7 linked regions of the Danio rerio genome follow. The protein of the gene in region 1 interacts with the protein of each later gene in a pairwise test. Links are inferred from orthologs where the notes say so. Each region holds a gene or a part of one and is shown in the gene's direction. Other genes may lie near its edges.

Region 1 (4,632 bases):
CAATTGTTAAAGGCATACTTATGCCAAAATTTTACTCAACCTGTGCTTGTTTCAAATGTTTATGAGTTTCTTTCTTTCAGAACGAAGATATTTTGAAAAATGTTGAAAAAGATTATTGACTTTCACAGTATTTGTTTTGCTTGCTATGGAGGTCAGTGGTTACAGGTTTTCAAATTTTTTTCAAAATATGTTTCTTTGTTTATTCATCAATCATTTTCTCTTTGGCTTAGTCCCTTTATTAATCTGGGGTCGCCACAGAGGAATAAACCACCAACTTATCCAGCATATGTTTTTACGCAGCCGATGCCCTTCCAGCCACAACCCTTCACTGAGAAACATCCACAAACACCTATTCACACACATACATATGGACAATTTAGCCAATTAGACAATGAGACCATTGCTTTAGGTTAACAATAAATCTGACTGAACATTTATTAAAGTAGACCTACTCAATTTTGTATTACACAGAATAATGTGTGTCGTGGGCAGCACGGTAGTGCAGTAGGTAGCACTCTCGCCTTACAGCAAGAAGGTCGCTGGTTCGAGCCTTGGTTGGGTCAGTTGGCATTTCTGTGTGGAGTTTGCATGTTCACCCCGTCTTTGCATGGGCATAGTATATGTGTGTGTGAATGGAAGTGTGTGGGTGTTTCCCATTGATGGGTTGCAGTTGGAAGAGCATCCTCTGCGTAAAACAGATGCTATATAAATTGGTGGTTCATTCCACTGTGGCTACCCCAGATTAATAACTGGGGTAGCTGAAAAGAAAATGAATGAATCAATGTGGGTCAATCATCTTTTAAACAGATATCTTACAGTAATTATACAATTCAGATTAAAATTAAAAATAATAATGGTATAAATAAAACTTTAATAAATTAAATATAAATAAATAAAATGTATATTACAATAAAAATATTTATATTATAATTAATAATATAGATATAATAAAAATCTCAATATTTAACTGAAATGTTTATCTGCCAAATCAAAGTTTTGTGATATAACTCCCAAAAACTGATATTTATGAATTTATATTTCACCATAAAACTAATAGTAAAAGTAAATAACTAATACTTTATTTTTAACCGTAAAAATATGTATTGTTGAAATTAATACTTGAATTATTATTTTGTATTATTCACATATTTGTTATATGCAAATAAATGTAAAATGGAAAGTTTACATTTTTAAAAATGTAGAAAATGAAAAAATCATTTAATGATAATAATTTTTTTGTCTTGCAAAATCTAAATATTAAAATAAATTTATATTTGTAATTTGAAAGCTTGCTATTAAAACAATTGAATATATTTTAAGAATTATATATTGATGCAAAACGTATATATTTTCCACACCTTTCACATTTTACTAAACTTTAGCATGTAGACTAGAGTAAACGAAATGGACTTTTTTTTATTATAGCTACCTTGCTTCAGTACAAATGTCTTCCAACACCACCCCCCCCCCCCCCCCCCCCCAACTCTCTCTCTCTCTCTCTCACTCTCTCTCTCTCTCTTTCTCCCCTTGTGGCCAGTAGAGGGCAGACGCCTTGATAAAACCTGTACAGGAATAAATAACCCACTTCCATTACCCTCAGTTTGCACACGTTCTTGATTCTCTGACAATCCCAAACTCTCTGCAACTTGGAGACAGCTGCGGCTGCGAACATAGAGCGAGGAATAAGGTATGGGAATCAACACGTCCTTCCATCATAGTGAATACAACTTGACAAGACGCCTGCCGAGCGTGACTGTGCTTGCAGGCGGAGATGACTGGCATAAAGTGCGTGGCTGATATACAGATGAACATCTGACATGCCAGGGGAAGGAGTGCTGAGCTCGCCGTGTGTTTGTGTGTGTGCGTGGATTTGACAGTCAGATATAGTCTCAGTTTGCTTGGGTGTGGTGCGAAAACAGGTACAGACAACTCGGTCTGTCGGCATTCGGAGAAAGTGAAATGTTAAACATGCCGTATCCCTCATTTTCATGGTGAATAAAGCTGCGTGTATTTTTGGCAGGCAGGCGGTGTGTGTGTGTGTGTGTGTGTGTGTGTGATCTGGCATGTGGATGTGGGCTGGAGAAGCTGTGGTTCATCATTAGGGCAGTAAGTGTAAACAGCAGCAGGGCCCGCAGGGAAAGGCCTGACTTGCCCTCTTTACGCAGATCAATAACCCATCCATAGAGAGCAGGCCCGATACTCACTCACAACACTTATCCTTAGCAACTGTACTTCAGGTTAGTGCTGTGGGTTTTCTGGACCCATTTTAAAAGATGTTATTTGCTTGTTTGACAGGATAGTCACTCTTAAAGTATTTAGAAATCCTCAAATTCTTGTGTAGAAGACAAGAAAACTAACAGTATTGGGTAAAGTTAATTTTGAAAGTAATGCAAGGCAAGTTTATTAATATAGCACATTTCATACACAGTGGCAATTCAAAGTGCTTTGCATAAACATGAATAAAAGAAACAAGTACAGGAAAATAAAAACAAATAATAAAAACAGAAAAAACGATCAAATGTGTCATAAAAGAATGAAAAAGAAGAGAAAAACAGAAAAAAATGCGATCTGTTGGACGTAGCACAGTGCTTATTCAGTAAAGGCACAGCTAAACAAATGTGTTTTCGGTCTTGATGTGAACGTGCCTAATGTTGGAACACATCTGATCATTTCTCGAAGCTGATTCACCCTGCTTTGACTGAACTCTTGGAATTTCTAGTTTATATGATCCTCAAGATCTGAGTGATCTGTTAGGTTTGTATTCATAAAGCATATCTGTAATGTATTGAGCTCCTAGGCCATTTAGTGATTTATAGACAAGTAATAAAACTTTTAAATCTATTCTGAATGTAACTGGGAGCCAATGTAAAGACCTGAGGACAGGTGTGATGTGCTCTGATTTCCGGCTTCTGGTCAGAATCCTGGCCGCAGTGTTCTGGATGAGCTGTAACCATCTGACTGTCTTTTTGGGAAAGCCAGTGAGGAGGCCATTACAGTAATCCACCCTGCTGCTGATAATGCATTACAGTATTAAGTTACTTCCCCAAAAAAGTAACTAGTTGCGTTACTTGGTTACTTTTTATAGAAGGTCTAGGTTACTTTTTTGTTGGTAGCTGAGGTTTGATCTCTTTTAGAACTTTTTTTATTATTCTGTCTGTTCCCATGGGAAGTGAATTATCTCAGTGGGAGCGTTATTCAACATGGGTATACTGCATGTTCATATTAGTTCTGCAATTTATTTTGTAAAACCTAAATAATTAAACAAAAAATTTACTCACTTTACATTTTTAGCTATTTTTGCGCAAGATTTAGTAAAAAATCTGCAGATTTATGCGGAATGATTTTGGGAGTATCGTAACTAAAAAAACTTAATATATGAAATAAAAATAATACCTCCAATAACATTTAATTTTAACAATGCAAATCTAATAGGATCCACTTAATTGGCAAGTCTCTCATTTAATATATCTACCAAAAGGCAACATATTACTTTACAAACTGTATTGTAAATAAACTTTTTACATTTGTTTATAATGTTACTGAAATTCATTTAAAAAGTATAAGTTTAACCACATTTGCACAAGGAATAGACTCGATGGGTTAAAAATCTACGGAAATTTGCCAACTTCTGAGCACGTAGATTCTGTGTGGACCTAATAATAAGTAATACTTACAAGATGTAATAATAATAAGGGATGCTCTGATCAGGATTTTTGCAGCCAATGTTGAGTTCTGATTGTGTGTCATGGTGATTGGCCGATACAGAGTACCGATTCTGATGGTTTAAGCTTTACATTACTTTTATATATATATATATATATATATATATATATATATATATATATATATATATATATATATATATATATATATATATATATATATATATATATATATATATATACATATATGATAAAGTGGAGATCTCTCCTTTAGCATGTTGGATATATCCCTTAAACATGATTGAAGAAGCTTTACAGAAAATTACAGATAAAACAGATAATAATATTTTTTGAAAACATTCCAAATGATGAAAGAAAATCAACATGAAGAAAAAGTTTGGAGCGCATATTTGATGCATAAGAAGTTCAATTGCAGACCTATACTCTAAATCCATTACGTCTTTCCTAAAAGAAAATAGGCCTATAAACTACTGTTTATTGCAACAAGAATATTACAAGTTATATTATTAAATATATTAAAGTAAAAAAGTTTTAATAAGTTTTACTTTTTTTCCCCCTGATATTTAGAGCCAGGTTTTAGTGAACTTGCAATAGTCAAAAACACAAAACTTTCAGTTCACCTCAAAAAGGCCTAGATACAAGTGTATTTGCAAGGCCATTCTAGTATTTTGCTCATCTCCAACTATTGATAGCAGCAGAAAAACCCCAGGACAGCTGCTGTGTTGGGAGCGCAGAGATCACTCATGCCCACACACATCATTCACTGCTTCATGTGTTGTAGCACTGCTGATGAGTGCATGTGCCACATGCTCTTTGTGTAAATTCGTACACAAACACTTGGGATCAGTTTATGAGAGTACGATCAAGTCATGAACTGTGATTATCTTTCTATACTGATCTCCGGTAGATCGATCAGTGCATCCCTGATAATAATGTTTATTAATAATAG
Region 2 (3,993 bases), on another chromosome or scaffold:
GAACGTTATCGTAAGTTATTTTGTTAGATAAGCTAAAGATTTGGCTTCAGTGCTGACTAATCTAATGTATATGCACAAATATGATATTTTATAGCTTCATATTAAAAATGTGAATTTAAAAGATAAATTTGTGAGGGGTGTATGCTGAGCACTTTATATTAAATAACTTGTTGACATTATTACAATTCTATATTCATAAAATTTAATTTTTGGTGGTATTTAAAGATGAATATGTGATAGCATATTGGTTTTAGAATTTGAGTACTTCATCTCCCCTGCTACTTTTTCAATTATTTATTTTGTTTGTTAACTTTTGTTATTTATTTATTTATTCATTCATTCATTTATTTATTTATTTATGGTGTATTGTTATTATTAATGTGAATGAAAAGATTGTGAATGAAAAGATTGTGAATGCAAATTGATTGTCATCTCAGTCTTTTTGTGTAAATTAAAAAAAAAAAAAGTATTAAAGCTTTTCTGTTATTGTTTAAGCATTGTTAATTAAAAAGAAAAAGAAAAAAGTATCTAGCAAGACAGGACATTCTTATTGAAATATTCCAGACTCTGTACAGAATATATCACTTGGGAGTTAAAGTATAAAGTATGAAATAGTGTGCGAGTTGGCAAAGAAAGCACTAAAGTATACTCTCTAAAATGTTAATGTCCCATTGGGCAAATCTGAAATGTAGGGTTTAATTAAAGTCAGTAAAAAAAAGATGGCGACAGACATGGACTCAGGAAGAAAGGGGAAGACAATTGTATCAAATAATGAGGTAAGTTGGGTATGACAGGTTTGTGACAAAAGAAGGGATGACAATCTCATGCCTCCGAATTGGGCTCACTGCATTAAACCAATCACTGTTTGAAATTGGCAAACACGATACAGGTATGTGGAGTATATGTGGAAATCCAAAATTAGTTGAGCGTGTTATTTTAATTGTCATAGTTATAATGAGGAAAGATCTCAGCTTATGGAGGAAATGAAGAATGCAGGAAGTTTAAATCTAACACTAAAGAAGTAATAAATTGAATAACTAAATAAATAAACGGGCAACTCGGTGGCGCAGCGGGTAGCACAGTCGCCTCCTTGCAAGAAGGTCACTGGTTTGAGTCCCAGTTCGAGTCCGTTGGCATTTCTGTGTGGAGTTTTCATGTATTTCCTGTGTTGGCGTGGGTTTCCTCCGAGTGCTTCAGTTTTGTCCCACAGAAAAAGACATGCACTTGGTGTATAAGCTATGAGGTGTATAGGTGCTGTATTAGCTGTGTAAAACATATATTGGATAAGTTGGCAGTTCATTCTGCTGTGTCAAGCCCAGATGAATAATAGGACTAAGCTGAAGGAAAATTAGTGAATGAATTAATAAATTTAATAACTAAAGATGTTAATTTAATAAAAACTAAAGTATACCTAAAGTATCTTAAAAGACATTGTTACTTAGACAAGTTTAATTTATGTATTTGATTAAATAGCTTACCATTTTCTTTTCCCCCCATTTCTTTGCTTTGGTCTATTTCTGTATTCCTTTCTATATCAACCCCTCACCCTCCTCCCCACTAGGTGGCGGAAATTCAGTAAAGCTGCCAAAGTTTGCAAGAAGAAGAAGAAGAACAACAACAACAACTGCATTGCGTTGATGAAATACATGGCTGTAGAAGTAGCGACTTTGTAAAAAATGTTTTACTGCTTAGTTAATAAAGAAGATACGTGTTTGTCTGCAATTCAGATAACGTTAGCGGACATATTTTTATTACGCTTGAAAACTAAGCTAACGCTTCGGATTCTTCAAGAACAGTATTTTCCAGGTGTAACGCTACTCCTTAATTTTCCTTAATTTCGAAGACGTCATGCATACTAGAGAGATCATATATTATGCTACACAAATCGAAAGGTTGCACGAGGACGGCAGTTATGAAGATGTTATATCATTACTGACTGAACTCGACATCACTTCTGTCACGTTAGAGCAGATTCAGACAACAGATATTGTAAAAGTTCTTTACAGACTGCTTAAGTCCTGTCCTGTTTTGAGTGCTAAAACAAAAGCAAAAAGCTTGCTGACAAAATGGAAGAAGTTGTACAATTTGTCACATGCAATATTACTCAAAAATAATGACAAAAACACACGGGAGGACAAGGAATTAGAGACGCCAAACAGAGAGTCAGAGACGCATAACATGTCTAATGTTGAGTTACCATTGGGATTTCCATTTTTAACCAATGGATTTCAGCCCTTACATGAAAAAGTGAACGAGAGTCAAGCATGTAACACAAAGCAGCTTGATATAACAAAGGATGCAAACCAGGGAAAATGTAATAATGTATGCTTTAATGCATCTTCTAAAAAACTTTGTATAGCAACTGAATCTGCAGAATCTCTCCAGCCACAGCTTGAGCAAGAGAGCCTCACTCCAGCCGTGGAATCAAATAGATCTGATGCAGAGGAAGGTGCTCAAACCTCAGTTCCTCAAAACACAAATCAGCACACAACTAACTGTGACTCTACAGCACTGAGATCCAAATGTGTCCATCTGATTCTTCAGGCTCTTGGCACAAACCAACAAACAGACCCAGGTCATATGAACAAGCTCAAAGCCCTTGCTGAGAACATTGAGTTGCATGTTCATGCTCTTCATGGACGAAACCAGCATAAGTTCAAGTTTCATATTAGGAGCAAGGTTGCCAACCTAAAGAACCCAAACAACCCCCACCTACGCCAAGGCCTTATTTCAGGACAACTGACTCCAGATGCATTTGCCCAGATGTCTGTAGAGGAAATGGCAGGTGAGAAACTTCGACAGCTCAGAGAAACTTACACTAATTTGGCCATCAGTGAGCATCAGTTGCCAGAAACAGTTGAAGGCACCCCTACCAATAAAGTTCGCTGCAGGCAATGTGACAGTATGGATTGCAGGGTGACTCAAATCTCACGAGGGACTCTTTTCTTGCCATCCTGGGTGCAGAGTGGCAGTGCAGATAATGATTCTATGACTTTTATGACCTGTGCTAATTGTGGAGAACAGTGGTACCACAGTAATTGGGTTTGCCTTTGAGCAAGTGCGTAAAGATAGCAACATTGTTCTGTATTATTTGATCTGTACTATTGAAGTTTTTGTTCACAATGATGTTAAGATTGTCAATTATGTAGTCTTCAATTTGGTGCAGTGAACCGTATAATGCGCATTCATGTCTGTTTTGGAAGAGATGAATACACCAAGAATAATAAATATAATCTCTAAAAACTGGTTTTAGATGCATGTAACCATTAAAAAGGTAATTAATGTCTGTTTTAATCTAAGTATCAGTATGGCTAGACACACTTTTTTATGTTGACTTTAGATGTTTTATTTGTCCTCCAAAAACTTATGTAAAGTATATATTTAGATTATTTTCCATAAGTCACTGTTAAGTCTGTAAATATGGAAACGAATAACTATTGAACTGCTGTAAACATACATTTATAATTTATTATTATAATACGTATTTACTGGTTTTTAAACTTTTTTTCTTAAACTCTTCTCACATCAAATTGTTTTGTACATTACACGTCATCTATTTGTTGCAGTTTTTTTTTTTTTTTTTTTTACTAAAACAAGCTTCCCACACTTTTAGAAGGTACTTAAAAACAAACAGGTCCTTAAGGTTTGTGAATTAAATTTTAAATGAAATTCGATTATGCTGTTATTTCCACAATTGTAAAAACAATTGTAAAAAAGAGGTAAATTCTTAATTAGTATCGAATTCGACAAATTTTATTAAAGTTTTTGAACATGGCTATTTAAAATAAAATTCTTCATTCAAAAAACTCATCATTATGCACACAGTATTATTGTTAATTTTAAGTGTAAGTGAACTGTTGAGTACAGTAAGAAGTTTCATGGTGGTGGCAGTTTTAAAAGTCGTTGAAAGTCCTTGAATCTGCTGTTAATGAAAGAGTGGGAACCCCTGTATAACTGTGATGTTCTGTAATGACAGTAATCACATTCATAAAC
Region 3 (4,681 bases), on another chromosome or scaffold:
ATGACTAATTAAATCTAGCATCATAACACTTGTAAAATAACTGTTTAAATATTTTCCTGTTTAGTACCCTATAATAAACAATAATAATGAATAATACTAATTCTACAAATACTAATAATATATTTATTGGGCTATTATCATATTTTTATTGTTACTGTTGCTGTTAGCACTATTTTTCTTTAGTTTTGATATGTCTGTCATTTTGTAGAAATATACTGAATTACAGCAAAATACTCTAACCTTAACCTTTTAAAATGACCAACATTTTATTAAGAATATAAATAAAATAATAATAAATGGTAGTGTCTGAACTAAAAAAATTATTAGAATCTGATCATTTAAAAAAATTGGATTTTGAAATTAGAACAATACGAATCAAAAATGACAATAACAACATCAACAATATAATAATACTAATAATAATAATAATAATGATGATGAAATTTAAAAAATAATTAAAGTAGCAAATGTGTTGAAAATTTGTTTTGTAAATGGTCGCTTTAAGTTTAAACACAAGTGTAATACATTAAATGCAATAAAAGGAGCACGCGTTAAACAAAAATATTTGTGAATATGTTGCTCACCGTAGTTCATTTGTCCGTGCTTCTCGAGTCACCCGGGTGCTTGTCAGGTTCCCTACTTCTCAGGATATCTTAAATGTATAGTCTTAAAGCTGTTATGATAGAGTCGGCTTTCCTCCCACACAGAAGAATCCAGATAGACATTTCTCGAAGTGAATATTGGCAACGTGTTGTTTTGAACATTTTTCAAGGTACCAAATTCACCTCCTCGTTGCGCCACTCCACACTGGTTTCACGTGTATTCTACATGTCTTATAAAAGGCCCTAATCTAGCCCCATGGCTATGCGGTGCACTCATCTCTTGATACGTTTGGGTATATCAGCTTGAGCACTTGCAGTTTGAGCGTCATGTGGACGAGAGGACAGTTTTAAGGAATTAAGTCCCCGTAAATCCCTCCAGCTACGCAACACAAATGCAAGAGCTCTGCCTGCGTCCGTATTCAACATTTGTTTTCTCCGGATTTATCCCCGGTGTTATATTTGTGAAATAATTAAAGATTAAGTCTGCTGTTTTCTCTTGGGATTGGTAATTATGTCTGAGATTATATAAATAATACTGCTGTTGCCTATGCAACTTTTTTGGAGTGGTACGAATACAAACTTGCATTTATTTACCAGGGGTCACCGCATCTGCACATTCTACATCAAGCAAACAAAAAAAATTCAATTTTTAACGAAAGGAGTGTAAAAACTAAGAAATAGTTCTTCTTTCCACTTTAATCATAACGCTACGAGTTAATGTTACAACATAAACTGACATTGCTTGCACTGTGAGAGATGAGAATGCGCTCCGCCAGGGCCTCGCTCTCATTGGCTGGAGAGTTTGCATCAAAAAGTAGCTGTCGACATTTGTTTCCCTGCAAAGGGCCCTGCGAGAGAAACAGACTCCAGTCCTGAGCTCTTCATTGGCCAGCGCGCTGTACAAATCAGACTCCAGCAACTTCAACCCAGAAGAGCAGCGAATCATAACCGTATGTGCTTTAATCTCTCAAAACCATTTTATCCATTCTTCGTGTTTAGCAGTAGACGCTTCATCATAGCTCATTTGCTTCACGGTTTGAAGAAAAGGATATTATCCTGATGTTATGAATATTTTTCTAATAATTTAGAGCTGTATTCGCTATCGGACATCAAACTTTAACGGGCATCGGATTGAATCCAGTTATTCAGTAAGTATCCCGCCTTATGTTGTTGGGTATGTTTTCTTTATTACGCCTTAAACTTTGCGAATAGTAGACTATAACTATTTTTATTATTTTTATTGACACTATATAATCATCGTCACCATGATTAATTGGTGAATTAACCTTCTTTACAATCTAAGCATCTTTTTTTTATGGCTCAAACGTTTTTTAAGCTATTAAAAGATCGGCAAACGAGTCATTGTATATATTAATATAGGCCTAGTGTAAAAAAAAAGTCTATAATATCGACTTAATATCGATAGCTATTTACTGAGACATTTTGACTTGTAGATGCATGTTCATTTTAAACAATTTTAGTCCACGGCTATAACTGATTGATTTTATCGCTCATTTCATTCGTTTAGAGAATAATGAACGAACAAAATAGATAATTCAATATAGTTAGCCTATTTTATTTTTAATATCAATTATAAACGTCAAGCTATACAAAAACAGGCCGCATTTATATTGTCTTTACCTGCCGCTTGATTTATATTGTTCAAACACAAATGTGATATTTATAGTCTTAATGTCTTTTGTTTAATTTTAGCAGTTTATGTATCATGTCAGAGACACCGGTACCATTGAAGTGTATGAGAAAGCATGTGTGTGCGAGCGCGCACGCGTGTGTGATTTTTATTGTAGTCATGCACAGAATCAATGAGGCCAAACGTTCAGCTGAAGAGGTAGCGTCCAGTAATTAGGGGAGCGCGTGCCACACGGATTATCTCGTTAATTTATCAACAACAACATTTATCATAATTAATTCTTGGATGAGGTAATTACTATTGAGCGGCTGTGCAACTGGTAGACGGTGACTGTTTTAAGTGACAGATTGGGAGGCGAAACCGTTGGATAAAAAAAATAGATTTTTGCATAATAAGCCAGAAGTTTTTTTTATTTTATTTTTTTATAATAATTCCAACATTTATTCAGACTGGATTGTCTTTTGGGTGACGCTGAACTTATGTTCACCTAAAGTTTTGCTTGTTGACTCAATAACCTTTTTTAAGAAACTCAATTTTGTTAGTTTGATAGTTTTTTTTTCTTTAAATGTTATAACATCTAATAAGTTTTCGTTCAGTAAATTTGCTTTGGTGGTTATTATTACTATTACTATTATTATTCTAATACATTAATATCTAAAGTAATTACACCACATCAGCTAAACATCTACAGTTTATCAAGTTACAAAATGTTTGATGAAACACTGAAAAGATTAAAGTTGAGTCAATAATTTGACTCTTAGTTAAAACTAACAGAGTTAATTTCTGAAAACTACTAAAACATAATTATAAGTTTATTGTTCTGACTAATGTGAGCGAGTATATGAGGAGAGGTTACTTTTGTCCCTCTCCAATGGAGCTTTTGTTATCAGCATTAGTTATCAGGCTAACAGTGGCCTTTGTTTCCACCAATAGCTCCCAATCAGTGCTTGTATGCCTGAGACAATTAGCCGGGTTCCTATGCAAATTGTGTTTCTGGCTTGTGTGCACATTTGAACGACGGAGTTTTGTCTTTGTGAAAACTTGTTGCAATTAATGGATGTTACTTTTTTGGGTCTGGTGGGGAGAGGGGAGGAAGGGGAGGGACGGGGGGCGTTTGTCAAGATGAGCTGCGTTCATCTCATGAGGACAGCTGGAGGTCTGGAGCGGCTTTAAGAGCACGTTGCGGTGTAGATGTGCTCTATTCGCCGATAAGTCATCGCAGCTAAAGGAACCCAGTTTCCGTCAAATGACAAACGCCGAACATACAATTTGCGTCGCCGCAATTACGTGAACGTCTCTCTTTTATCTGTGTCATTTTTCAGGGTTTTTAGTTTTACCTCCACCGCTGAAGACGCAAACAAGCTAAAGCAGAAGTGCGCTAAGGAAAAGAGACCGAAGCAGCCGGTTTCCAGCTTTCCGAAATTTCTCCAACTTTACCCCCCACAACCATCTTTAGCATGATGTCGTATCTCAAGCAACCACCTTACACGGTCAACGGGCTAAGTTTAACTACCTCCGGGATGGATCTTCTGCACCCCTCCGTTGGATACCCAGGTGAGCAAAGCTTCCGATTTTAGCATTTTATGTATATTATGTCAATTGCAATGCAATTTGTATTCAACAGTAATGCTTTTTTAGATTCAGGTATATGTAGTAAGAATTTTGCTATATGTGCTTAAATGTATATACTAGGCCTGGTTGCTATCCTTGCTATAATCCCACATTTACACTTCCGAGGCTTCTTAAAATTAAAGTTATTATTAAACATAGTTGCTTGCACAATTATGAGACGGTTCTATTCTTTTCAAATAGAGTTTGAGTAAACTAATATATAATTTCAAATTGTAAAAACTGTAAACCTTAAAACACAGCAATTGGTAAATTAAAATTGTGTTTATTCTAATATATTTATTCTAAAAACATGCCTACACAGTTTTTATTTAAAGTGCAGCAACAAAAAGTAAAAGACTTAAAGAATATTTTGAATGAAACTTTCATTAAATAAAACAATTTTTAACATATTGTATGTACAATTCAACATTGTATAACATGTTGTACTGTGCCGATTCAGATATGTTAATGTGTAATATTTATAGTATTTTTTACATTTAATAATTAAATCTAAGCATGGACGTTTTTTATTAAATGACAACCTGTGATGCTTTTGTTTATTTAAAACAGCGACTCCTCGAAAGCAGAGACGAGAAAGGACAACATTTACTAGAGCGCAACTAGATGTGCTGGAGGCTTTATTCGCGAAAACACGCTACCCGGATATTTTCATGCGCGAGGAGGTGGCCTTGAAAATCAACTTGCCGGAGTCCCGTGTACAGGTACGCATCTTTCAACTCATGAGAAAGTTAAATAATTATAATAATAATAAAAGTATTGTATCTATATGAACTGAGCGATGCACTAAAATATTATC
Region 4 (4,099 bases), on another chromosome or scaffold:
TAACAAACTGCTCCTCTCAATTAATTGAAAAGAATTCACTTACTGTAGTCATTTGTCTTTTGACTTTACTAAGTATTGTTAAAACGTGGCTTATATTTTGACATCTTAGAATGGCTTTTAAATTATCTGAGGCTTGTATATTATTTTATAATTTTATGCATTAACTGTACTGTCTCCTTCATAGCGATGGCGTCTGGGATCCTGAAAAATGGCATGCTTCACTATATCCCTCTTCAGAGTCCAGTTGTCCTACAGAAGGTTACAAGAAAGACTATGTAGACGATAGGGTGCCACTTAAACGAAGAATTGCAGGTAATTGAACAAATAGCTTCATCAAATCAAATAAGGTGCCATTAAAACCCGTTTGCTGGAGGATGTTTATCTTAAATGATCTTTCTCTTCCTCAGATCCCAGGGAACGTGTAAAAGATGATGATCTAGAGGTGGTTCTAAGTCCGCAACGTCGTAGTTTTGGTGGTGGCTGTCAAGTTGCACAAACCGCCCTCCCTCGCCGACCCACCAGCCCTCTGGAGAACAAAGAAAATGAGTCTCTCCGTTTGGGGGGAGCACGACGCATCGGCAGTGGCCGCATCATGGCATCACGCGTTTTTGAAAGGGATGCACGGGTTGACAAAGAGAGGGAGCGAGACCGAGAGCGTGACTTCAAGGATAAGCGATTTAGGGTATTGTGCTAGAAATTGATGCAGAGGTTCTTATCTATTTCCTGTAGTGTTTGCACAGTGACAATGTTGTTTGCCTTCTACAGAGAGATTTTGGAGACAAAAGAGTGTTCAGTGAGAGGAGAAGAAATGACTCGTATGCAGAAGAGGAGCCAGAGTGGTTCTCTGGTGGACCCACTAGTCAGTCTGAGACCATTGAGCTCATTGGCTTTGATGACAAAATCTTGGAGGATGACAAACGGAGGACCAAACGTTCCAAGAAGAGGCCAGAGTCCGTTAAAGAAGGCATGTGCTGTAGGAAACGGGTCTCAAACAAAAGTGCGATCATCGGTGGGCTTGTATTTATTCAATCTCTTTTTTTCTATAGTTGAATGCAATGGTGGACTTTCAGACGGCCCTGAAGTAGTTCGGGAGTCAGGAGCTGATCAAGAGGTTCCACATGCTGAGCTTCCTGAGCAAACCCCTGGAGATTTTGACTTCAATGAGTTCTTCAATCTTGAAAAGACCATGCCTGGTCTGGCTTCGGTAAGATATGGGGAGCACTGCATGTTTCTATGGGTGATTGGCACAGAATATCTGGGTTGTCTTTAAAGGGAGAAGCAGTACACAGCAAATCACACCTAAGGTTGAGAGACGTTTGAGGTTATTAGGTGCTTTCTGGGGACTTTTAATCACTCTTCTCAGTCCCTGTCCTATAACAGGACTCTCTACTATTCAAGGTTCTCTTATTTTTTACATCTCTTCAGTAGTGTCTCTTTCTGGCTTATGTTCTAATGTGATTCTTTGTAATGGATTATAAATCTTTTGAAGCGCCCACTAAATGAATTGATGTAACAATAGTACTTTATGTACTGATGATTGCAGAATGGTTCAAATGATGATGACATTGCTGTTAGAAATGTGAAATTGTTGGTTTTATGGTTGTATGGCATCAAGCTATTTGTTAAGTTTTGTTCTACTGAAAGCTCAATGAAATGCAAATTTATGCCCATCTGACTCTATAAGGATTGTAATAACTCTGTTGAAACTTTGGGGATGCACATCTTGACTGTACAAAATTAGACTTGCTATTTGGAATTTAAGTGGGATTCTTGTAATTGAACCAATTCTCCACAATGCCCATTTTCACCCCATTGTGCTAAGCAGTCTGCAGACACTCTTCACGTAAGTGTCACTCACTCCCCAAGGCCGTTTCCTGCTTCTATGCTGTAACCGTTTAAACAATTGGTTTCTTTTTTTTCCTCCTCCAGATGATTGAAGATGTTCTTGCTGATGGTCCAGTCATGGCCAGCCGTTTTAGCCGCTGGTTCTCCAGTAACAGAAGTCCCTCTGGCAGCCGCTCCAGCAGTCTACGGTCCACACCACATGAGGAGTTGGAGAGATTGGCAGGTAAATCTTTTCTACTCCAGTCTCTTCACCTAGCTCTGGTTGTAGGTTTTGACTGATATTGAGCTTAGAACTGTTACTGATACCCTCTGTTTTCCTATTTAAACTCCCCATTTAGCATTTTAACTAAATATTTTTGTTAAATGTTAATAATTCCTTTAGGCTTTTTAACCAACTGTTCTACCTAGTCATCTAAATGCCCATTTTTCTGCTAGAGATGCAATAACCGGTTTCACTATTAACCGCGCTTTAATTCGTCATGGTTATTTAATCGTAAAGGCTTCTCAACACCGCGTTTCTGCACAGAACAAAACTGCAGCAACTAAACAAAGTTATGCAAACTGTGTGCTAGTTTGTACACTGAGACTAATAACCATGCACACTGAATTAATTATGACTGAGGCTATTAACTAAGGCAAGCTCGTGAAAGTTCATTATTTTCAATGGAGGGAACGGCTGAAGTTTAAGGACGAAGCAATGAAAAGTATACAGGTTTGCAAACCCATTTAAAGTTACAAGTATTGGTGTCAATGAGAGCAATAATGTGGTGAATATTGATCCACCAGCGGAGATTAATCGAGTGCTTACAGAGAGAGTGCAGAAAGACTCGGAGTGGATTGGCTGTCTAATAGCCCGAATCTCGATGCGTTGCATTCACTGCGTGTTCAGCACAAATGGATGCTAAATGTAAAATCAAACTTAGTAAAGTCGAGCTTCTTCGGCAAAGATCTATACAAAGTTTATACTGAAACTTCGACTCATGACAGAACGGTACTGTGCAGGTGGTCATCGTGAGATTTGCTGCTCTGCGCCACATATATTGGGCCGGCTCTCTTGCTTTTTTCCACAAACACGGAAAAATGAAAACAAGACTGAGCATTTAAAATGACACACCGAAGCTTTTAAAGAGTAGTAGAAGTAAGACTTTTCTTCCTTTCTTTTGTCCTATCCTTCTGGTTATTATAGTGACATGCTTATAAAAACAATAGTACAAAATGTATATTTCTTACTGCAGTGCTTCATTTTTGTTTGATGCAAACCATAGATTTTTTTTCTCAAAGTAACAGCAGGACTTTTTATAGCACATAACTCTCATTCAAGGTAGCATAATAATGTTATTTAATGTTAGTATTATTGTCGTCATCATTATTAATATTTTATAATTATTGTACATTTATTTGAAATTATTGCACAAATATCAATAACAGAATAAGCTAGTTGTTTCTGGTTGTTGTTAGTCCGCATTGATGCTGTTTTAAAATACAATAAATCTGTAATTTGCAGTGGTGCTCATTCGTTTTTGATGGGTGCTCCCTTAAGTTAATGTTAAGCCCTGCATTAGATAAATACATTTTTTAAATTCATTTATTTATTATTCTATCATTTATATACAGTGTAAAAATAGAGAAATGGACTATTGTTTGTTTTTAATGTTATTTTGTGCTGTATTATGTGGTTACTGAGTAGCAATAATTTCATGTGATTTTTCTAAACTAGTGGTGACTTTAAAATGAATGAAAGCATGATAACCATGAAACCATGATTATTTCTCCGACTATAATCGGTTAACCAAAATCTACAATCGTTGCATCCCTATTTTCTACACAAAGGACTGCTATTCTGTTTATCTGTGACTAGACCCGACCATGGGCTAAGTTCTAGTCTTATCAAATGTGGACAAAATTATCAAAGTATTTATTTATTTTTATTTTTTGGTTAAACAACAAACTTGGCTGACTTGGTGCTTACTAATCCAGAGCAGACAAACGTTTGAGGAGACTAAATACATTAAAAGGAAACAAATAGGCAAGGTTGACTTAACAGAAATTCAGCTGAAGTTATTTCTAGAGCATTATGCTTGAATTCAAGGTTTGTCTGTTTTTATTAAGTTGATAAGCAGTGTTAAAGGGAGTAAGGTGAAGCTGCAGGCCTGGAGACCCAACTGCTTGCTCAGACCTGCATGCCCAGACCTGCACTTCTAGACCTATCGTTTTCTCTGACAGTGCTACCTGCTGTTGGGTAGGGTGAAGCAGC
Region 5 (4,598 bases), on another chromosome or scaffold:
GCCATCTGAATGTCGCAGCAGAAATCGAGACTCATCAGACCAGGAAACGTTTTTACAATCTACTTTTGTCCAATTTTGGTGAGCCTGTGTGAATTGAAGCCTCAGTTTCCTGTTCTTAGCTGACAGGAGTGTCAACCAGTCAGAGATGCTCTTCTGCTTACCTTGGTTTTAGCGAGTGGTTATTTGAGTTACTGTTGCCTTTCTATCAGGTGGAACCAGTCTGGCCATTCTCCTCTGACCTCTGGCATTAAAAAGGCATTTGCGCCCACAGAACTGCCCCTCACTGGATATTGTCTCTTTCTCAGACCATTCTCTGTAGACCCTAGAGATGGTTGTGCATGAAAATCCCAGTAGATCAGCAGTTTCTAAAATACATAGACCTGCCCGTCTGGCACTAACAACCATGCCATGTTCAAAGTGACTTAAATCAACTTTCTTCCCCATTCTGATGCTCGGGTTGAATGCAGCAGATTGTCTTGACCATGTCTACATGCCTAAATGCATTGAGCTGCTGCCATGTGATTGGCTGATTAGAAATTTGCGTTAAGCAGTTGAACAGGTGTACCTAATAAAGTGGCCTGTGAGTGTGGGCAAAGAGGATATATTCTTAAAGTTTGTTTCAGTAATTTCATGACTTTAAAATTTACTCAATATTTTTTAAGTGTAAAATAGTTCCACCAAAACAATTGAGTAGATCATAGAAATACTTAAAAATTCTCAGTATCGCTGGATTTATTAGAGTAACATGTTACTCTTTAACTTAATAAAATATTATTATGTCATTCAGAGATTTATTTGTTTAATTATAATTTCTTTACTTTTCTTAAGTTAAAACATGTTGTGTTGTCTATGAGTATAAACAAGTCTGAAAAGATAGTTAATTTTTCTAATAAAAAAATCATCAAAAACCTTCCCAGTGTTGAGTTGCAGGTTGAAGAGCATCCGCTGCATAAAACATATGCTGAATAAGTTGGCGGTTCATTCTGCGGTGGCAACCCCAGATTAATAAAGGGACTAAGCTGAAAAGAAAATGAATAAATGAATCACTGAAAACATTATTCATATATTATATATTATTTACGTTTTTAAGAAGTAGTTTTAGTTTAAAATGTAAAAGTAGTTTGTATTAATGCCATAACTATATTGTAATTTCGAGCATTTTTGCATAAAAATAACTATTTATCAAAGATTTCCACACTTTTATTCTACAGCTGTATGATGCAAATATGTCCATCTTTTAAATCTCTGGAAAATAACTCCCTAATAATAATACCACATAATTTTAGCTTTGGGCTTACATTCTAATACCATCATGTTGCATTCAGCCGCTATGGCATTCCTAAAATAAAATGCATCCAAGGCGCTTCTGCGTGTCATCTTGCAACGTGGCGTCCACGCCCATCTCGAGTTACAGACAGCCCCAAGCCCAATAGCAGAGCTTCTAACATTCCACTTTTCTTTGCTAGCCAGTCAATGATTGGCTGTCCGCTGACACGCATCCATTCGGTGTTTGGTTGTGGCGTTTAGTGATCCGCCGGGCATGTTTGAATCGAAAATGAAAAGATCCGACTTGTGTTCTGGAGACTGGGATTGTTTCGCTCCCAGTTGATAACAATTGAAAGGTGTTCTTCTGGCAGCTGCAGTTTCTTGTGATTTTGGCGATATATGATAACGCCTAACAGTTTTTGAGGTCCCTCTTTGAATTACGTCCTTTTAAAAATGGAGGTTTCGACCTATTTGTGGCTTTTGTCGCTCTGCACGAGTCTTGTGCAAGGAAAACCCACTCTCAGGAAAGAAAGAGTTCACCACGAGCCCGAACTGAGCAGACAAACACACGAAGACAACCAGAGTTATCAATACGACCACGAGGCCTTTCTGGGCAAAGAGGAGGCCACCACATTTGACCAGCTCACCCCGGAGGAAAGCAAAGCCAGATTAGGGTAAGATTTGAGGGTTTTTGTCACACAAAAACGTACCTTTACTTCAGCATTACCTCTGTATGTGGTTTAGAGACAGATACAACTGCTCAAAATGGCCAAAAAGACAAGTTAGTTTTATAATCTAGATTAAAACGTGTCTTATTATTGGAAATTAAGGATATGTATATTCACATACTGACTGAATTTTTATAGTTAAATCTAATGAAGTTTTCTTGTCATCAAGCAAACTGACTATAGTATTAAAGTTTTTATTACTTAAATTTAGTTGAAACCTGATTAGCATATTCAAACAAGTTAAATCAACATTACATTTACATTACATTACATTTTAAACAGTGTGTTGTTGTTTATAGTTTTTTTATTTGCTACTACTATATGTGATCATAGACAACAAAACCTTCTGAACAAGTCTTTTGTTGCACGGTTATATTTTTGGCAATAGATAAAAATACTTTATACTGGTCATGATTAGATTTCTCCTTATAGACCAAAAGTAAATCATTAGGATATTAAGTTAAGATCATGTTCCATGAAGACATTTTGCATTTTCTACATTAAAAATACATTTCTATACATCAAAAATTCATTTTAGATTAGTAATATGCATTGCTAATAACTTAATTTGTACAGGTTTTCACAGTATTTAGATTTTTTGAACTCTTAGTTTTCAGATTTCCATAGTTATATCTCGGCCAAATGTTGTCATTGTAACAAACCATCAGCAAAAGGTTATTTATTCACCTTTCAGAGAATTCATAAATGTTAATTTTTTTTTTTAAAATTGTCAATTATGACTGGTTTTGTGGTCCAAAGTCACATATACTATTTAAGAAAAACATGTACAGTAACGAATTAGTAAATATAAATACATGTAGTATAAAGTTATGTAAAGGAATGTATCAACAAATGTGAATACAAATACTCCAAATAAATCCAAAGAAAGTCTTTAGTTTATTTTTATGGATTTTCCTGTCTCATGACGATAAAATGCCCTCCAGTGTGGTGGTTGCCACACTGCCATGTCAACAGTATCTGGGTTATGGTGCCAACGTAACTCGTTGTCCAGCTCACCATGGGGTGAAATGGGCGTAAACATGAAGGCATTCCCCCAGATCTCCTCTCCTGGCTTTCTGAGTGGGAGGAGGGCTCACTGCACTTCACAACGTGGCATCAGGGATAAAAATAATTTGCTGTTGACAGCCTTGTAGTAACTTGAATTTCAGTTCCTGTCAAGAACATGTCTTTGGGTCGTATTTCAACTTAAATTGAAAGAAGAACCTGCTTAAAGGCAAGAAGAGGAAACTAGATTATATTTTTATTCACCAAGGAGAGTGAAATGAATTTTGGTTGTAAAATCTGATCAATTTTTATTAGAAATGTAATTATAGGGTGTGTTAATTATCTATATCTTTCTAGTGTGTGTGTATATTTATGATGTTTGTGCTGCTGATTATTAACTGTCAAACTAAAATTAAAAAATATATTTTTTTTTTTCTCTTGCAAACTGGATTGAAAATGCCCAGAGGTTTCCTTTAATGTTGTGAAAACAGTAAAAATAAAAGTTAAAATAATTGAGTAGATCATAGTAAGACTTTTTACAGTGTACAGCTATGGAAAAAATAAAGAATCTAATTATAAATTGCCAATTTATCTGGATTAATCAAAGTCAAAAAGTCAAAAGTTAAAATATTTATCTTTTTGTTCAATTTTAAACTTGATCCTCTTATTTTTACATTGCAGACCATCAAATCCTATAATGTTTGTAGGAATGATGCATATGTTTGGGAACACTTTAATTCATTAATACTATATTGTAATTAAATCAAGTCTAGTTAATTTGAGCTTTATTGTCATTCTGCTACATGTGTGGACATACAGAGGAACAAAATGTTGTTTCGTAGGACCACAGTGCTACATAAATTTATCATAAATACAAACACAACACTGGACATACGAGCTATTTTTAAAAACCTATGCATAACTAACATATACTAAGGGTGCAACGGATATCGGTTGATCCATAATCCTTACGGATCACAACCCACAGTTCATAATGCATGTGACTCGCGGATTAATAACTTTTTTTGAAATCGTAGGTTAATCCAACATTTACAGTATAACAATCACAGAGAAATCGGCTCCCATGTCTTTCAAATCATATGTATGTAAGCATTTTGGCCTCCTTGTAAAATATAATGATGACGGAAAAATTTGTTTGACCTAAATGCTTTCTTAGGCTATTAATTAAAGGTGTTTTCTGTAACTGTTTGTTTAGCCTGCATTAATTCATTCAGTTTAAGCTGCACAATAAAATGTTAAAAGATCGTTCAAACCCAAGAAACATGAATGATAGTGATTTGCAAATGTTTATTGATCCTTATAAGCGCTGCATTCAAATCTGCGTTTGATCGAGAGATTCAGTTTTACACTTTTTCAGTTCATTACAAACAATTAAATAACACAAAAGTTCTGGGAGAACAGTTAATAGTTCGGATATAAACACTGATGTTAATGGTAAAGATTAAAATCACTGTTTAATGAAACGTGACGCTGGTGAATTTTACAGTGTGTAGTAAATAGATGGCGACAAACAACCATCAAAATGATGTCACTGACTAGGTTTTTAAAAATGATCCACCTATAATGAAACATGAAATT
Region 6 (4,769 bases), on another chromosome or scaffold:
AAAATCAAATTATTCATCTCATCTTAAACATAGGCACAGATAGACTAGTTCAAACGTTTAAGACGTCTTAAGGTCTCAGGAAGAACAAGACATTTCATGTGATCTCAAGTGTTTCAAAGAACCATTTTTATGTACTGTATGAACATTTTCATAATCTGAAGAATCCATTATAACCTTTCCACACTGTAAAAATGCTGGGTTCCTCACAATCGATTTGTGTCGGGGCAACATAAGGGAACTGAGTTAATTTATTCTTTTTTAACAAATGTTAGTGGATTAAACATAAAACAATTAAGTTGTCCCAAAAACAAAACTCAAGAATTGAGCTCATTTTAAATTAATTGTTTGAACAAACAGCAAACATTATATTTTTTTTAAGTAAAGAATCTTGTAGAATAAAAAGGGCCCATATTAAATGTTCTTCATGAACATTAATGCTATATCTTTAATTTTAAAAAGTCAGTTTTAGGAACCGTTTTGTTATCACTAAAAAAACATATTTTTACTAGTTGTTCAAATTACTTTTTGAAATGAGCTTAATCAAAAATTCTTAAGCCTTTTTGGGACAATTTAATTGTTTTACGTAAAACTAACTTAAATTTGCAAAAACAATGATGTTAACTTATTCGACTTTTGTTGGGACAACAGGAAGGAATTGTGTGGAAGCCTGCATCTTTTTACAGTGTTTTCCCCTGTTTTTTACTTTTAACCATTATCCTGTTATACATTAACTCATTGCAAATTAAATAATAAACTAAATTTTAAAAAAGGCCAAAAAATAATAACGGTTGTGGTAGGTTTGGTCACTGGTTGGCGCCAGATGTCAAGGTAGAGAATAAACATTTCCAGAGGGACAACATTGCAAGTGTCAAATGTGTTGAAATATGAATTCTGGTGTCCTTGAAGCATTTATATGATATCAAACAAGAACAAGAACGCACATAAAAGCGACTTTTAGGTCATGAAACGTTTATTTAAATTATAGCCTATATAGTTCTCAAACTGAATTCGTGGAGGGCCGCACATCTGAAGTTTAGCTCCAACTCTAATTAAACACACCTGATCCAATTAATCAAGACTCTTTTGAACACATTGATTAATTGGATCAGGTGTGTTTTATTAGATTTGGAGCAAAACAGAGCTACGGCTCTCCAGGAATTCAGTTTGAGACCCATGATTTAAATGTGTAGTTATCTCATTTGACTTTAAATGTCCCACAAACATTAAAGCTTGTATTTTTTTATTTTTATTTTACTGTTTCTAAAACTGTTGTATTTTTTTAGCCTATTTCAATTTACCTTTTTCTAAGCGTCGACATAAACCTATATTCATACAGAACTCTGAATATATTCGTTGTGGAAATGCTGTAAACCCGTTTGTAGGCTGCGTTCACTTTGGTCACTGGTTGGCGCCAGATGTTAAGGCACAGGGCATTTCCAAGAGATGGAGAGTAGTATTAAAAGGGTCTAAAACTGTCAAATATGCTTTTTGTTAAAGCCTTTCCTTTTCAGCACAATGCGCCCGTCTTTCCACCTGAAATCTGTGTGCCATCGAGGCAGACATCTCTATCTAGCCGCGCGCAAAAATTGAAATGGCGCGTTTGGCCCGAGGCGGTTGTGTGGGCGCCTTTGCAGAGGCACAATGCATATCGATATACGTCATTTAGTTTTCATGGCCAGCAGAACATTATTAGGGCGCCGAGAGACACGTTTGGAAGCAAATTAATTCTTCCATTAAAATAGAAACATCAATCAAAAAAGACGTTCGTAGTTAGAAAATACAGTAGGCTATATTTTGTGGGTAAAGTGGTTTAATACAACAGCCTTCTTCTTTTTCCCACTGAAGGTTAGCCAAAGACATGCACACAGGTAAACCGTTATCCTCACACGCGCGCGCGCTCATCATATCTTTGTTCAGACGATGAATAAATAAATGACGATAAATGCGACGAAAAGACACACATACGCATCCTCCCAAATGCGAATAGCAAGATCAAATGTTGTTCTTGTAACTCGCCCCAGCTCAGGCAGGGTTGAGCTAATTGTAGCCTAATCCTGCCCCGGGGCGTTTGGAGAGCCTTGAGCAAGAATTCTTGTTCAGCTGTCCTCTGTTATTCGGGCTGGAACGCTGTGCCTTCAACGCACTCTCACGCTTCAACAAAAAAGGAGCAAGAAAGAAAAAAAGCGAGGCTAAGACACGCCACCATCGATCTCATGTTTTAAAGAGGGCTGAAGATACATTTACAGCTATGTCTTCCAAGGTAAGGACGCAGCCTTGACTGACTCCCCTGTGTAGCTTTTGTGGAAAGTGTCTATAGCAGTCTGTGTTTTAGGCGAGTTTTTAAAGCCACAGCGACCTATATAGCGCTGCGTTCGCACCGGCGTTAGATTTCCGCTGGATTCCGAACGGATTCTGTACGAAGAGCTCTTGGAGAAAATATTACCAAAAGTTCTTTCTAGAGGACGAGCAAGCTTCATCGGAGAATCCTCCTCAGATTGCGTCGGACATCCTAAAATGTTTGAAACGGTACGGTACAGATTCTGTCAAATTCTCGAGTCTTTTCTCTTTATTGCATTCGTTCTCAGTGTGTCGTGCTTTTGCAGTTTTAGATCAGGGAGGGCTGATTTGGGTATACAATGAGAGGTCAGAGCACTACTGTATGCCCATTGCGTACAGGAAGTGCGGTACATAGAGTTGTAGGGCTATTTTACGCACTCCTGAGACCTGGCGCAGTTATCATCAACTATTATTTCGGACTTTGATGAGATCTTACTTTGCACTCGCTCGTAGCGGCAGATTCCTTTTCACTACAAACATCAATAGTTAGCTTTTCAAGTCATGACATGATGTTCATACTATTGAAGCGTTATATATATATATATATATATATATATATATATATATATATATATATATATATATATATATATATATATATATATATATATATATATATATATATAACATTAGACATTACTCACTAAAAATGCAGTTCGTATTTTAGTCAGTTGTTGATTCAACCCTTTCTGAAAATGTCTGTTCATTGAATGAAGCATTTGGTGTTTGACTGATTCCAAGTTATGAGGCTTTTGAGTGACTCATTGAATGATTCGGCTCCCAGGAGTCGTTACTTCGTTTTTCTAAACTGCTACTGCTTTTGAAATATGGGTTTCTTATTACTGTGGCGCAGTATAGTCTTATAGGAACGAATGGATAAGGACAAATTAAAACATATAGCCTTGTAAAAGTTGTAAACAATTTTATAATTAATATAATGTCTTTAGCCGTGACTCTGAAGATTAATTGATGTTTTTTAGTAACAAAAATGTAAATTTTATATATTAATTCTATTATTCAATTTCACTTAAACTAACCATAATAACCTGCAGTTCATTGACTGAGATGTTGATTCAAACCGTTCTTGACAAATTCAGCGTTCATTCATTGAATAATTTGACACGTTGATTCTAAGTTATGAATCTTTTGTGTGATTCGTTAAAAGAATTGGCTCATAAGAGTTGTGCTACAGGCAACCTGTCAGGCTGTGTTTGATTTTTCGTAATTTATAAGAAATTTATTTGAAATGTTTATTTATTGGTAGACAATTTTTTAAGTTCAAATTGAAAATGATTTATTGCTCACACGTGGGATACAAAAAAATAAAAAATAAAACCTGATGTTTTAGATGCAATTGAAAATGTTTAGCTAATATTGTAGCTTATTATTAACGTAGTGTTCAAGTATTATTAATATTGATTTTTATGAACAAACTTTTCATTCAGTTAAGAATTCAACAGATTTGCGTGACTCATTAAAAAAACGACTCATAAGAGTCATTTGTTCATCATTGGAATGCATGGGCTTCATTTTGTTTGTCTTTTGGATCTTAACATTTGAAATTTGCATTCTTGAAATTGTTTCACAGTATTTTAATAACATTTTAATGACATTTGATAAAAATTATCCAACATTCATGTCTTTATACAAAATAAAATTAGCAGTTTTTTGGCTAATGTGAAAAGTGTGTCAGTTTTCTGGACACTGCTATTCAGGTCAGAAATCATTTGTTGACCAACAAATACGATGAATTCGACTTTTTAAGTGACTCATGATAAGAACCAGCTCAAATTAAGAGTCATTTGATTGTTATGATTGTTTGTTTTCACATAGAAGAAATTGAAAATCTATTTTTCCCATGTAATTATTTGGTGGTAGTCAGAATTTTAATCAAATATAATTCAAATGAATGAACACTAACATACTGAATACACATTTTGTCAGCTGTTATGCTGCGAGTCCATTTTTTCGTAAGTAAATCCTGTTTAGTTTCAAAATAAGTCTTTAAGATATCTTTATATTATTAAACTTATTAATTTCAGTAGCTTTAAATGCAACTATAGCTAAAACATGGATACATTTACATTATTTGGCCTTTCATAGATAAATCTAAAGGCTTAGACACAGTCCACAAGTCTTTGACGTACAACTATGGGCAGACTTTGCTCCAGGCATTGTGCTTCCAGAAATGGGACTTTAACCATCTGTTTAGGCAGGATTGTTCATTTCTCCAAACAAAAGGTTGATTCATGCCACAACAGCAGTCAAGCATGATGCTCACTCTCTAATTAAATGTAAAGTTTTTAAATGTTACATAGTAACTTTTTAACACCGTTAGATTGTAATACTTGGCCTTATGGGAAAACAAGTCTTATTTATCCTCGTTTTTGGTTTCAAAATGTTGATTCGCAGAAACTTTTACAGAAAGCTGT
Region 7 (4,664 bases), on another chromosome or scaffold:
GGTGTCTATTTCAAACTACAGTAAACTAAAGTTTGAAACTATAGTTTAAAATAGACGATGAGTGGGCCTCGCTACTCCCACCCACCATAACCCTCGCAGCGAGGTCCCACTACCGGCCCCCCGTGTTTCCCTGAGGGTCCTCGGGGGTTGTTTGTTCCCTGCCTAGGGCTCAAAGGTCGCCTCGCCCCAGGGAGTGCACGAGAAAACCGGGCGCCAGGCCGTGCCAGTATTCACTGGATGTTGCTCGGCGGCACATTTCGAGCAACAAACACGTAATATTCCTTGCGATGTTGCGTTTATGTACCGAGTGAAGCTTCAGGAAGCGGACTTCGTGAGATTGGCGTGGCTCCACTCGCAAAGTCGGTATTGAACTCACCTTGGTCAAGTTCAAACAGCAACACTGAGCGAACTGACAAGGCTGACAGAGAGCACACGAGCTTTATAGGAATGCATATGCAAATTTTTACAAGGCACGTAAAAACTGCTGTTGCGTTGTCATGGCGAACGCTGAAGAGGGCTCATCTGATTGGAGCACACAGACTCGTGAATCTGCGTCACGGCGAATTGCCGTCTGCAGTACACAAAAATATATTAAATATATTCAATATATATTTTTTTACATTTCTGGTGCTGTGTAATATTCTGGGATGCAGTAGAATATGGAGACAGATGAATATAATTGGCTATATGCCGAGCAAGTGTTGTTCCCATATACTTATAAACTTCCGGTGACCGGTTAGTGTGAGTTTTTTCCATTTTATACGGTTCCTTTTACAGCATTCATGTTGTAATGTAATTAAAATACATTCAGTTAAATAAACTTTGGCATTCATTTAGTTGTTCAAGCGTAAAACGAGACAAAAGGCCTTTTACTCGCACTCGCCCGTCAGAATCGGCAGGATAGCGCAGACGCTCCATTGAATATACTGGGTTAAATATATGCTCATATTATAAAGACATGGCGGGGAAAATGTCATTTAATGCAGTGCTTCTAGTACAATCCGAGACCCACTTCATATCGGAAATCACTCAGCCAGTGGAGATCGCTGATTTTTAAAGAAAACTGACCTTAAAAACGTGCAGCTTTTTCCTTTGGCATACAGTTCGCCGGAAGCGCTTAACCCAGGTTACTGGCAAATTAAAAGTCCCATTAGCATGCTTCCAGAATGTCTTTCGAAAAAGAGTACGGGTTTAACCCCGGCATCCTGGCCAAATTTATCCACTGGCCTCTGTCCATCATGGCCCTTGGGTTGACTTTTCCGATTTCATTAAAAAATTCTTATTTCCAAACTTCTGTATTTCCCCAAAAAATGTATTATTTGGTCACTCTCTGAGTGTAGATCTTTCTCATTTTAAATCAATTATTGATTTTTTGCTTTTTTTAAAAACAAAATTTCACATCCATAAATGTAAATTTTCAAAGAAACACCCGTACTTTTTTATTTTCAGAAAGGACTTTGAAATGTATGTTCTCCAGGCCTGCAGATGTCGCTTCAGGTGGTTTGAACGACGCACGAGCGCTGCTTTGAAGTACAGAGGAAGACGTGCTGTAAATGGCTGCCTCCATGTCGTGAATGTGAGACCGACAACGATTAACGTTTTATTCGTCTCCCCAGTTTACTAAGGACATAAACGTGCCATATATCGCAAAGGTAAGACTATTTTATAGTTACTTATTGTTTATAATTCGAAGGATGAGTAATTACTCGGTTTGAAACCGATCGCTTTGAAATCGCTTCCCTCTCAGTTTATTAATGTCATCGTAAATTGATGAATGAAGGATCAAACAGCTCCATTTAAATTAACAGCATATTTACTGGAGAACACGGTTATATTAGTCACGTGATGTTATGAGTGGTCTGGGATGTATGATATATTTGGTATTTAATTGTCTGTGTTCTCTCACGAAGCAAATGATTGACATGTTTGAACTTTCAATAGATTATATAACTTATTTTTTTGCAAATTTAAGAAACGTGTGCCTTAATCATGCTGATGCACAAATTACGACATTTTATCTTATTTATTGTGAATTCCCAAACAATACCCATTGAACTATAACTGAATGCGATAATAATATAACTGAGCTATTTCAAATCTGTCAAAATTCACCCCAAATTAAACAAGACGCTTAGAATAAATAAACCCTATTTGTAGCATTATTTTCGTTTTTATAGCTGTAATTAATCCAGAAGAAAAGTTTTTGACATAATATATATGTGTGTATTGTGTATACATGCATGCATATCTTTGAGTAATCATATATAGTTCATCAAAAAATGAAAATTCTGTCTTCATTTACTCGCCCTTCACGTGTTACAAACCTGTTTGGATTTCTTAATTCCGTTCGACAGAAAAAGAGATATTTTGAAAAATGTTGTAAGCCGGTAACCATTGACCTCCATAGTATTTGTTTTCCCTGTTATGAAGGTCAATGGTTACCAGTTTTCAGCTTTCTTCTGAACCATCTTTTTTGTTTAACAGAATTACGAAAGAAACTCATAAAAGTGAGAGTAGAGTCCCAAATTTCAACATCGTTTGGCAAAATTCACCCAGTGCACTTTTAAGAAGTAACCAACTAGCTGTTGTTTTTAGCCTTTTGCAGTTCAGACTGATTTGCGGTTTGGCATCAGCCGTCACTTCCTTCCAAATGAAGGACGGCAAGGAGAACTCCAACGCCACCTTCGGAAGCTTCACCACAAATCTGGACCACACCAAGCCATGCTGGTACTGGGACAAGAAGGATCTGGCCCACACCCCGTCCCAGTCAGACCTGGACCCAGCCACAGAAGCGCGGTACAGACGAGAGGGAGCCAGGTTCATCTTCGATGTCGGAACACGTTTGGGATTGTATCCTTCAATGCTGCTATTTGTAGACTGATCTAAAGATGTTGTGTGTTTATTTATTGATTTAGACTGAATAAGGCTGAAGTTTAAATGGTGTGATGATTTCCATTTGGACCTTAACCATTTTTTAAGACATTATGACACCCTGGCGACAGGAATAACATACTTTCATCGGTTTTATATGTTTCATTCTTTCAAACAGTTCCCCCGATATGTAAGTACAAGCTGTTGTTGAAAGATATTTTTTTTTACTGTTTACATTTTTAAGGAATTGCTCACCCTCCTCTTGTTTCAGAGTTTTTTTCCTCTGTAAAACACAAAAGGAGATATTTAGAATAACATTGAAAACTGGTAACATTGACTGCCGTAGTATTTCTTTTGGTACCTACAATAGAAGTCTACCTTAAACTTCATTCATTCATTCATTTTCTTGTCGGCTTAGTCCCTTTATGATGCTGCGTTCACAACAGACGAGGTACGCGCGTCAAGCGTGACTGATTTACATGTTAAGTCAATGCAAACGCGCAAATAGACATCCTGCGGCGTGATACACGCGAATGGCGCGGAGCGAATGACACAAATAGCGCGAATGGCGCGGTGCGAATGGCGCGATACGCCCGAGGCGATTTGAGCGTTTTGCACATTTGACGCGCTTAACGAGCGTTTCGCGAGAATCTTTCGAGTTCGAAAATCTGAACTTCAGCGGACATTCGCGCAGCGTTAACCAATCAGGAGCTTGCTCTTGTGGGGGCGTGATTGTGACGTAGAACCTGTTGATGGTGTCCCAGGGGACATCCTCCAGGCGACAGCGACAGCGACAACAAGACATCAAACTGGGCTTGGCTCAGTCAGAAGCACCGCTGAAAGCCTCCGTGATCCAGGTTCAGTTTCTGGAGGAGTTTATGAGCTCACAGAGCAGGATGCACCTCTGAAAGGATGCAGTGGACTCAGACACGACCCTAAACGTATTGACGCTGTTTTTCAGTCTCCATAAAGCACATTAACACTGTTATTTTCTTAATAAAATCCATGTTAGCCATTTAGCTATGAAGCTAGAGTCACCGGGCAGACAGAAGCCCTGCCCATCACGCGAATCCGCGTCTGTTCTGAAGAGCATTAATCTGGGGTCGCCACAGCGGAACCACCAACTTATCCAGCAAGTTTTTATGCAGCGGATGCCCTTCCAGCCGCAACCCATCTCTGGGAAACATCCACACACACATTCACACACACTCATACACTACGGGCAGTTTAGCCTACCCAATTCACCTGTACTGCATGTCTTTGGACTGTGGGGGAAACCAGAGCACCCGGAGTAAACCCACACGAAGGCAGGGAGAACATGCAAACTCCACACAGAAACGCCAACTGAGCTGAGATTCGAACCAGCTACCCAGCGACCTTCTTGCTGTGAGGCGACAGCACTACCTACTGCGCCACTGCCTCGCCACCTTAAACTTCAGCCGTTTGCATTTCTCGCAATCACAGAAGCTCCCTGTGATATTAACTAGGTGCAGCTGGAAAAGTGCAAGCGTGTTGCTTCATGCGCGCAATGGAAAATGGCGGACGTGAAACGACAAACTAAGTATATGGTGACGCTCCAGTCGATCAATATTGGTGGGAGGGGGGACCGCACTCCTACATCAAGTCGGTCTGAAAACCGCTCCAATTGATCCACCGTTTTTATGTTGTTAAATTGAAAAAAAAAGGACTGTGTGTGTGTGTATATCACCCCAATATGACGGTATATAACACTACTTACACACATGTGTGTCCAAACAGCTTGAAAGGTAGATTTTTTTCACCATAGGTGCCCT

The links.
Region 2: the proteins of atxn1a (region 1) and tceanc interact in binary tests that used the Homo sapiens proteins (3 or more experiments, as listed by UniProt). The link is inferred for Danio rerio from reciprocal best matches to the Homo sapiens genes ATXN1 and TCEANC.
Region 3: the proteins of atxn1a (region 1) and otx2b interact in binary tests that used the Homo sapiens proteins (3 or more experiments, as listed by UniProt). The link is inferred for Danio rerio from reciprocal best matches to the Homo sapiens genes ATXN1 and OTX2.
Region 4: the proteins of atxn1a (region 1) and eif4enif1 interact in binary tests that used the Homo sapiens proteins (3 or more experiments, as listed by UniProt). The link is inferred for Danio rerio from reciprocal best matches to the Homo sapiens genes ATXN1 and EIF4ENIF1.
Region 5: the proteins of atxn1a (region 1) and rcn1 interact in binary tests that used the Homo sapiens proteins (3 or more experiments, as listed by UniProt). The link is inferred for Danio rerio from reciprocal best matches to the Homo sapiens genes ATXN1 and RCN1.
Region 6: the proteins of atxn1a (region 1) and kctd15a interact in binary tests that used the Homo sapiens proteins (3 or more experiments, as listed by UniProt). The link is inferred for Danio rerio from reciprocal best matches to the Homo sapiens genes ATXN1 and KCTD15.
Region 7: the proteins of atxn1a (region 1) and ccnk interact in binary tests that used the Homo sapiens proteins (3 or more experiments, as listed by UniProt). The link is inferred for Danio rerio from reciprocal best matches to the Homo sapiens genes ATXN1 and CCNK.

What each region holds. Positions count from the first base shown.
Region 1 is NC_133194.1:34,709,845-34,714,476, forward strand, and holds the start of atxn1a (ataxin-1a), read left to right. Parts: upstream 1-1,603; 5' UTR 1,604-1,687; intron 1,688-4,632. UniProt on the Homo sapiens protein: Chromatin-binding factor that repress Notch signaling in the absence of Notch intracellular domain by acting as a CBF1 corepressor. Binds to the HEY promoter and might assist, along with NCOR2, RBPJ-mediated repression. Binds RNA in vitro.
Region 2 is NC_133176.1:39,099,800-39,103,792, forward strand, and holds tceanc (transcription elongation factor A N-terminal and central domain-containing protein), read left to right. Parts: upstream 1-1,603; 5' UTR 1,604-1,848; coding exon 1,849-3,054; 3' UTR 3,055-3,228; downstream 3,229-3,993.
Region 3 is NC_133192.1:49,233,244-49,237,924, reverse strand, and holds the start of otx2b (homeobox protein OTX2), read left to right. Parts: upstream 1-1,622; 5' UTR 1,623-1,750; intron 1,751-3,575; 5' UTR 3,576-3,710; coding exon 3,711-3,807; intron 3,808-4,434; coding exon 4,435-4,586; intron 4,587-4,681. UniProt on the Homo sapiens protein: Transcription factor probably involved in the development of the brain and the sense organs. Can bind to the bicoid/BCD target sequence (BTS): 5'-TCTAATCCC-3'.
Region 4 is NC_133181.1:43,485,993-43,490,091, forward strand, and holds part of eif4enif1 (eukaryotic translation initiation factor 4E transporter), read left to right. Parts: intron 1-184; coding exon 185-312; intron 313-407; coding exon 408-682; intron 683-765; coding exon 766-964; intron 965-1,046; coding exon 1,047-1,204; intron 1,205-1,929; coding exon of another isoform or gene 1,930-2,068; intron 2,069-4,099. UniProt on the Homo sapiens protein: EIF4E-binding protein that regulates translation and stability of mRNAs in processing bodies (P-bodies). Plays a key role in P-bodies to coordinate the storage of translationally inactive mRNAs in the cytoplasm and prevent their degradation.
Region 5 is NC_133182.1:15,827,518-15,832,115, reverse strand, and holds the start of rcn1 (reticulocalbin-1), read left to right. Parts: upstream 1-1,525; 5' UTR 1,526-1,719; coding exon 1,720-1,940; intron 1,941-4,598. UniProt on the Homo sapiens protein: May regulate calcium-dependent activities in the endoplasmic reticulum lumen or post-ER compartment.
Region 6 is NC_133200.1:21,631,322-21,636,090, reverse strand, and holds the start of kctd15a (BTB/POZ domain-containing protein kctd15-like), read left to right. Parts: upstream 1-1,791; 5' UTR 1,792-2,248; coding exon 2,249-2,260; exon of another isoform or gene 2,261-2,514; coding exon of another isoform or gene 2,515-2,526; intron 2,527-4,769. UniProt on the Homo sapiens protein: During embryonic development, it is involved in neural crest formation. Inhibits AP2 transcriptional activity by interaction with its activation domain.
Region 7 is NC_133195.1:5,223,570-5,228,233, forward strand, and holds the start of ccnk (cyclin-K), read left to right. Parts: upstream 1-1,547; 5' UTR 1,548-1,652; intron 1,653-2,349; exon of another isoform or gene 2,350-2,478; intron 2,479-2,595; 5' UTR 2,596-2,650; coding exon 2,651-2,850; intron 2,851-2,979; coding exon 2,980-3,061; intron 3,062-4,664. UniProt on the Homo sapiens protein: Regulatory subunit of cyclin-dependent kinases that mediates activation of target kinases.